Linked DNA regions of Nothobranchius furzeri. The protein of the gene in region 1 purifies or fractionates together with the protein of each later gene. This does not show direct contact. Links are inferred from orthologs where the notes say so. Each region holds a gene or a part of one and is shown in the gene's direction. Other genes may lie near its edges. The genes, in order: rims1b and erc2.

Region 1 (3,821 bases):
AATTCTTCCTCTTTCCCAGGAAAAGGCCCGTTTCTCTCCATGAGCAGAACGGTAGAGGGGGAACGGGACGCGGCAGCGGTCGCAGACCTGCTGGGAAGCTTCAGTCCCAGTCGTCACTGGACGAGCGCTCAGTTCCTGGAGACAAAGGAGAAAGACGGTTTGGGAGTGGACGCCGGCTGGAGAAGATCAATTCTCAGGACTATGAAGATGGAAACGAGAACCTGGGACGCTCAGGGACACACAGGAGACGCCCAGAGGATGAAGAGCAGAGGGAGAGACAGCGCTGTGAGGAGGAATTCCAGAATCGTTACCGGAGCGACCCCAACCTGGCAAGATATCCCGTAAAACCGCAGAAGGAGGAGCAGGAGATGCGGATGCATGCCAAGGTATCCAAGGTACGGCACGAACGGAGACACAGCGATCTCGCCATCAATGAGGTGGGGCTCGGTCAGAATGAGGGAAGCGGTGGAGGTCAGGTGCCTGAAAACCACCTGGCTAAGAGGAGCTATGGGGAGGTGGACCGCAAAGCCCACCCTGAGAACCGCCGAGCCTTTCCTGGAGACAGGACCGTGGGAATGGGAGGTGGGCCTCCACTTGCTGGAGAAGGAGGTCGATCAGGGCCCCAACCTGGAGGTCCTGGGCCTCCTGATCAGAACCAGAACAGCAGCCACCTGGAGCATGGTTCCGCTCGGGACAAATGTGGAGATAATCTTCTGAGGAAGAACTCCCAGAGCTCCGATCCGTCAGAGTCTTTACGGCCGCCCCCGCCGCGGTCCTACAAGAGCAAGCGAGGAATCAACAAGAGGCAGATGTCCATCAGCAGCTCAGAGGAGGAGGGCGGCTCCACGCCCGAGTACACCAGCTGTGAGGACGTGGACATGGAAAGCGTCAGCGAGAAAGGTCAGTCAGACAGATGTCCACTAAACCTGCCTGATGTGTTTGCTGTCATCATTTATCACATTAGACCCGTCTCCACCTGCAGCTGTTCGCCGTTACCCCGAAATTCCACTACCTCCGCTCCGCTCCGACACGAACGCCGGAGCAAAATCGGTCCCGTTGTAGTCAATCAGAGCAATTCCACTACTGCGGCCGTGCTCCGACAGTGCGACGCCGCTCTCTGTTCCGGCGTCCGGCAAAAATAGAATCGATCCTATTTTCGCCGGACGCCGGAGCACCTCCGCAGTAAATGGACAGAAATCACAAACGCCCAACAGGAAAAGGAGCAAGCACAATTTCCGTTTTTCACAATAAATCGATGAACAAAAGGCGTTTTTTGTTTCATATGCACAGGTTTAACAACTTTTAACAACTATCAATGGCGGCTGAAGTTTAAATGCACAAAATTAAGCCATAAATACAGTTTCTACTATCAAAGTAGTCACACTTTGTTGATCCAAACACTGCTGATCTCTCAACACAAATGATGGGCAGATTAAACAGTTCATTTCAATGCTTCTCCCACACAACGGGTGTTTGGATCTAACTTCCGCGTTTATTGCTCGGACTGTATCGCAAGATCTCGAAAATCCCGCGCATGCTTGTTTGCCCACCTCAGGTCTCCGCACCGGAGCAGAGCCGTTGTAGAGCGGGTACCAGTAAAAACTGAGTTCGGAAGCGAGCGGCTGCGGAAGGCGGGGGCGGACCGGAGCGCAGCGGAGCGGAGGTAGTGGAATTTGGGGGTTAGCCCTCACGTCCATCTCTGCATCACGCACCCCATATTTGGGGCATAAATGGCTTCCTTTACTCCTCTCTCAAACGTGGAGAACCTACTTTAAATGGGGGAGGAGGGCCTAGGTCTCACCTTTCCAAGCTTTGAATCTCATTCCTAAGCAGTTTCCGTCCAGGTCACACCTTCCTGCATCTAATCAACACGACGCTCTCTCCGTAGAGGCTAACGGCTCATCAGAGGGTAGCGAGGCAGGGCGTTCAGAGTAGTTTCTGCTCATTAAACAACATTAGACAGCTGCAGCTTGACTCGCTCATATTCCAGTCAGAACTGACAAAGCTCCTCGGATGAGAAGCAAAACATCTTCAAGTAAACCAAAGAAGTAGCCTAGTGAACTAGACCAAATTCTTGCTTTGCAAAGAAGGCATGCTCCATTGGAACCTCCGCTGCTCCTACCAGGACTCTGGCTAGCCAATCACAGCTCTCTAGAGGGGTTTCAAACACATAAAGAGCTGTGATTGGTCCATAATGGTGGGCCAATCATAGTGGTCTATCTGCTTAGTGAACAAATCACAGAGCTTTATCCGCTTTGTGGGCCAATCAGGGCACTCTATATGCCTGGTGGGTGGGATGATGCAACAGAGTGAAACAAGAGTACGTCACATTCATTGTCCAGTGGAATGCGGAGATCATTTGAAAGACAACGGTAGAACCCGCCCCACAACCGAGGGCCGTCAATGGAGCGTTGCCAGACTAAATAATAGCTTGCCAGGCTACCAAAGAAGTCCAGTTGCCTTCATTTGAACCGTTTTGGGTTACCATGACCCGAATGACCGAGAACCTTCACCAGTATGCCATCTCTGGTTTAGAGGACAGTCTACGATACCTCTACTGTCCTTTTATCATGCGTCTAGCCTTCAGTCAGCCTAAAAGAGCACACATCACCCCTCTGTAGCTCCACTGGCTACTGCTAGCAGCACACATCAAATTCAAATTGCTAGCACTAGCATACAAAGTCCTGGATGGTACGGCTCCCCTCTACCTGAATCCTCTCGCAAAGGCTTACGTCATGACCCGGCCGCTCCGGTCATTGAAGGACCGTCGGCTAGCAGTGCCTACACCAAATTCTTTCTCCCCCATCCCAACGCCTAAAGCTGAGGTAATGAGTCTTCCCGGCCCAGTAGCAGCAGATTAAACTCTCGTCTCTGTTTGTCATCTACACCTCTGTGCTGTGGATAAACCCTGCTGCTCTCAGGACAGCGCTCATTTATTTGGAGAGTCCCGGTGATTTAGGCCAGCAGATTTGTGGAATTAGGTCAGTGGCTCGCTGACTACGTAACGCTCCGCAGACATCCAGCTGCAGCAGCCGAGCACGGACCACCCTGAACCGACTGGGCTTACAGTGCTCTCTGGGAGCCGACGCCTTTTTCCTGCTTCTGGCAGAAAAGCAGCGTGGTGCTGCTGAAATCAGACGTCCTGTCATTTGTGCGTTCAGGAGGCAGCAGAGGGGGTTAGGAAGCACTCTATCAGCTTATCACGCTCACAGAAAGTGGCCGTTCCAGCTGCTTTAATCCAGATTACTAAAACTCAGGGACTGGTCATGTGTAGGTGGTGTGGATTGGGATTATTAGCTGTTTTAGACACTCCAGCTCAGAACAGGAAGTGATTCGGCTCTGTCCTGATGCTTCGGGTAGGGTCGTATGTCTGACAGTTTGTCGTCTAATGGGAGGTTATAACAAAACCTGAACAAGTACAATTATCAAATAATGAATTCTATATATACTTATTAAATTAAATGAGTAATTTAGTCCTTTATTTTCATTTGCTAATTATACCTTCATCTGTTTCACGTGTTCCTCGGCCATTTCAAGCTGCAATCGTAACTCTGGAAAACAAATTAGCTTAACCCTTTGATGCATAACGGTCACCACCGTGACGACGGTGATGGGGCGACGGTGGCACAGGAGTTAAGTGGCACAGGAGTTAAGTGCTCGCCTCACAATCGGAAGGTTGCAGGTTCGAGCCCCGCTCAGTCTGTCGTTGTTGTTGTGTCCTTGGGCAAGACACTTAACCCACGTTGCCTGCTGGTGGTGGTCGGAGGGACCGGTGGCGCCAGTGCTCGGCAGCCTCGCCTCTGTCAGTGCGCCCCAGGGCA
Region 2 (3,821 bases), on another chromosome or scaffold:
CGGCGAAAATAGGATTGATTCTATTTTTGCCGGACGCCGGAACAGAGGGCGGCGCATGGCGCTGCACTGCCGGAGCATGGCCGCAGTAGTGGAATTGCTCTGATTGACTACAATGGGACCGATTTTGCTCCGGCGTTCGTGTCGGAGCGGAGCGGAGGTAGTGGAATTTGGGGGTAAGACCTCCACCACCCTCTTTGGCCAAAATACCGCACTTGCAACTTCAGAATGCCGGTCTGGTCCCTAATGTGAAGCTGACATGCCAGCGCTGCAGTCTGCTTTCAGCACTTGTAGCTGTGGTCTTCTTAAAGTGTTACTCTGGATTGTAGTTACTAGATCAATTAGTGTGAAATAACTAAATGTATTTGTTATCGACATGCCCTAATTTAACTGTAATGCCACTTATTTATGTGGAAATATTTAAAAAATGTATGTTACTGATCAGTAAAAAATTTTTTGTAGAAAGTCAATATTTCCTCTTCAGTAGCTTTTTATGATTTTATTTTTAATAACAAAAATTAATTTATGTTATTCATTACTGATGGCTGCAGTTTGTTTCTACTTTATTCAAATGGTGATTCTTCTGTTTTTTATTAAGGGTTATGTTGAACATTTTTTATTTCCTCAGGAGAAGAGTTGATTAGCTGAAAATCACACATGCACAAAATTCTAGTGAAATCTATTTTTTTTACATTATTACTTTATGCACAGAATGTGAGCTTTAAAAACACCTCATTGTGGTTAATTTATAATCGAAGTGCACCAAAGTGATTAAATGTCAGGCTGCATGTTTTTGCTGATGAGCTCTTATAGAACAAGCTCTCTGACACTTGATACATGTTGGGTGGATATCTTTGTTTGCTCTGACACAAAGCAATCAGCTATCACTGTCAAAGAAGAGAAATGTGATGTGGGATGAAAAGTGGGGTTGTAAAGTTGTACCTTAAGTGTTATTTTGATTTATTTGACCAGTGGGGCATCTGAAATTATGTTTGAAGAATTCTGCATGCTGTGTGCAAACTGAACCACATAAGCGGAGAAATCCAGGCTTCCTGATGTGCAGTGTAACAGGAACTATTATGTATTTTTTATTTAAATGGTTATTTTTTTTTGACAGAATACTTTTCTCTGTTTCCTCAGATCTGACTTTCCAACCTTTCAGATGCGAAATGAGTCATCCATATTTCCTTCAAAGAGTCAGAGCCATCTGATTTCACCACGCCCCTGTTAAGGACCCTCCGGTGGCTACTCAACGTTGAATCACAGGACATGTACGGCAGTGCCAGAGCTGTAGGTCATGTAGAGAGCAGCCCTGTACGGTCCCCACGCCTTCCTAGGTCCCCCAGGCTGGGCCACCGTAGGGCTCACAGCGGGAGCGGGGGTGGTGGCGGGGGTAAGACGCTCTCCATGGAGAACATCCAGTCCCTCAACGCTGCTTACGCTACTTCAGGGCCCATGTACCTGAGTGACCATGAGGGCGTGGGCTCCACTGCCACTTACCCAAAGGGAACCATGACGCTGGGTCGCGCCACCAGCCGGGCCATGTATGGGGGCCGCTGCACAGCCATGGGAAGCAGCCCCAACATTGCCTCGGTGGGGCTGCCGCATGCTGACCTTCTGTCTTACAGTGACCTGGGCTCCCTCTCCATGCTGCACCCCCACCACCACCAGGGGGTGCCCTCCGCTCTCCTGAGACAGGCTGTGCGGGGCAGCGGTGGGGAGCTGCTGGAGATGCAGGCCCAGCTCAGGGAGATGCAGAGGGAGAACGAGCTGCTGCGACGGGAGCTTGACCTGAAGGAAAGTAAGTTGGGATCTTCCACCAACAGCATCAAGAGTTTCTGGAGTCCCGAACTGAAGAAGGAGAGGATAATGAGAAAAGAGGAGGCGGCTCGGACGTCAATCCTTAAAGAACAGATGAGGGTCACTCATGAGGAGAATCAGGTGAGAAACCCCTCCCTTCCTTTCTTCCATCCTCTAAGCGTTCATAATCCACATTTTACTGCAAGCTGCTGCTTGTCCATCTGCATTTCTGTTCAGATCTTTCATCGTGCTCTGTCTTCCTCTGCATTGATTGAAGTCAGATGTGTTTCTCAAGATGAATGAAAACCTTTCTGGAAAGAGATTATTATATGTGTAATACCTGTTACACTCACGTGGATTCAGAGTTCTTCTAACCACAGGAAACACAAACCCTTTAGAGTTGTCAACAGTATAGATTAAATCTAAGTTTTCAGATATTTGTAAAGAAGTGAAACTCAAGCTGTATTGAACAGCCTGAGCTCAATATAGCAAAGTTTTAGTTTATTTTCACAGATTCAGCAGATTGTTCCCAAAGGAAGACATGTCAAAAGGATTTTTTTGCTTACCTCAGTGTGTGGGTGGAGTCGTGGCCCAGTTAAATCACTTACTGACAAGAGTGGGAACAGGGCCCAAAGACAAATGTCAAGGACACTTAAACACTTCCTGTCTGTCTTTGTTTGCCTCTTTTATTTTATTTTTTTTCTGTTTGTGTTTCTGACTCTGATCGTCTCTTTGGGAAATACAGGCGATAAAAAACCAGCTAATTTAGCATTTAGTGAGAACAATGTTCTCTCTGTGTAAACGTCACCTCTAGGATTAGTAGTGGTTCACTCCCTGAGCGTCCTGATCTAGTAGGAAGGTGACGTCATCAGAGTTTCCCTTTATTTATTTGAGACAGGCCGGGTGATCGTGAAGCAATATGAACATTACTTGGATGTCAATGCTAAGTTAACCCAGTTTTTCACCAGCCTGTCTTCTCCAATCCTGCCATCTTATGCTGAACCAAGCTGATTAGTCATTACTGATGCTGTCACTCCACCCTTCGAGGTCATAGCGTGATGCTATTTGTGCAGGAGTCATATGAGATTAAATCCTTACAGACCGGTTTTCTTAAATCATTTTTTAAACGTAACTTTGTCAACTGATAGGATGCATTTAACTCATTGCTAAAATAGCCTTTAGCATCACATCATCAGTCAGTTTTCAGTCATCAGTCAAAGGCCAGAGGCATTCTGACTTTAGTTAAAGCTGATATTCAGTTTTTTCTCAGAGGGCGTCGCCTAGAGGCGGAAAAACGTATTGCACCTCTCCCTGCTTCTGCGATACCACTGAAAGCAACACCTCTTGTTCATTAGAGCTAAAACACATTGTTGTATTCTCAGATCATGCAGTTATTCATTTATTTATTATGACTTTATTGCTTTTTAAATTTTATTTCATACATCATGTTTATATTTCAAAGACATACTCGTAGATAAGGAATGTCGTCAGGTCTGCATCTGATTTGACCATGGAGATCCTTCCAACTCTGAAATGCAGGTCCAAGGTAAATTCTTCTCCAGTTTTTGAGATGCTTACAGCAAGTTTAGTCCGTAAGGTTTTCTTTACTTTGGTTTGTCTTTGAATAGAAGCCTTAATTACGTCACACAATGGGGTCAGATCAGTTTTATGGAATTCTAAAAATCAAACATAAGTCTTGAAATAGGGAAAACCATTTACTGTACTTATTATAGTATCTTGGCCACCATCTTGGCCGCATCATGCATTTAGTCACTCCCTGAAAATACAAAAATGGAGCTGAGTGTGGGGGCAGATGATTGTCACCCATCAAACTCTGAGACACTTTAACTACTGAGCTAACCGAGCCAACCAAATCTAACAGGGGTAGTCAACTTCCATTCCTAAAGACTGATATCCAACATGTTTTAGTTATTTCCCTGCATCAACAAACCTGATTTTAACCAGCAGGCTTCTGCGTTGCCTGATGAGCTTCTAAACACGCGAATCAAGTGTTTTGGAACAGG

Evidence for each region.
Region 2: the proteins of rims1b (region 1) and erc2 purify together in Homo sapiens (affinity purification with western blotting; 3 studies listed by BioGRID and IntAct, with this or other methods). This does not show direct contact. The link is inferred for Nothobranchius furzeri from reciprocal best matches to the Homo sapiens genes RIMS1 and ERC2.

What each region holds. Positions count from the first base shown.
Region 1 is NC_091746.1:29,085,537-29,089,357, forward strand, and holds part of rims1b (regulating synaptic membrane exocytosis protein 1), read left to right. Parts: intron 1-19; coding exon 20-900; intron 901-3,821. UniProt on the Homo sapiens protein: Rab effector involved in exocytosis. May act as scaffold protein that regulates neurotransmitter release at the active zone.
Region 2 is NC_091743.1:67,385,265-67,389,085, forward strand, and holds part of erc2 (ERC protein 2), read left to right. Parts: intron 1-1,137; 5' UTR 1,138-1,266; coding exon 1,267-1,938; intron 1,939-3,821. UniProt on the Homo sapiens protein: Thought to be involved in the organization of the cytomatrix at the nerve terminals active zone (CAZ) which regulates neurotransmitter release. Seems to act together with BSN. May recruit liprin-alpha proteins to the CAZ.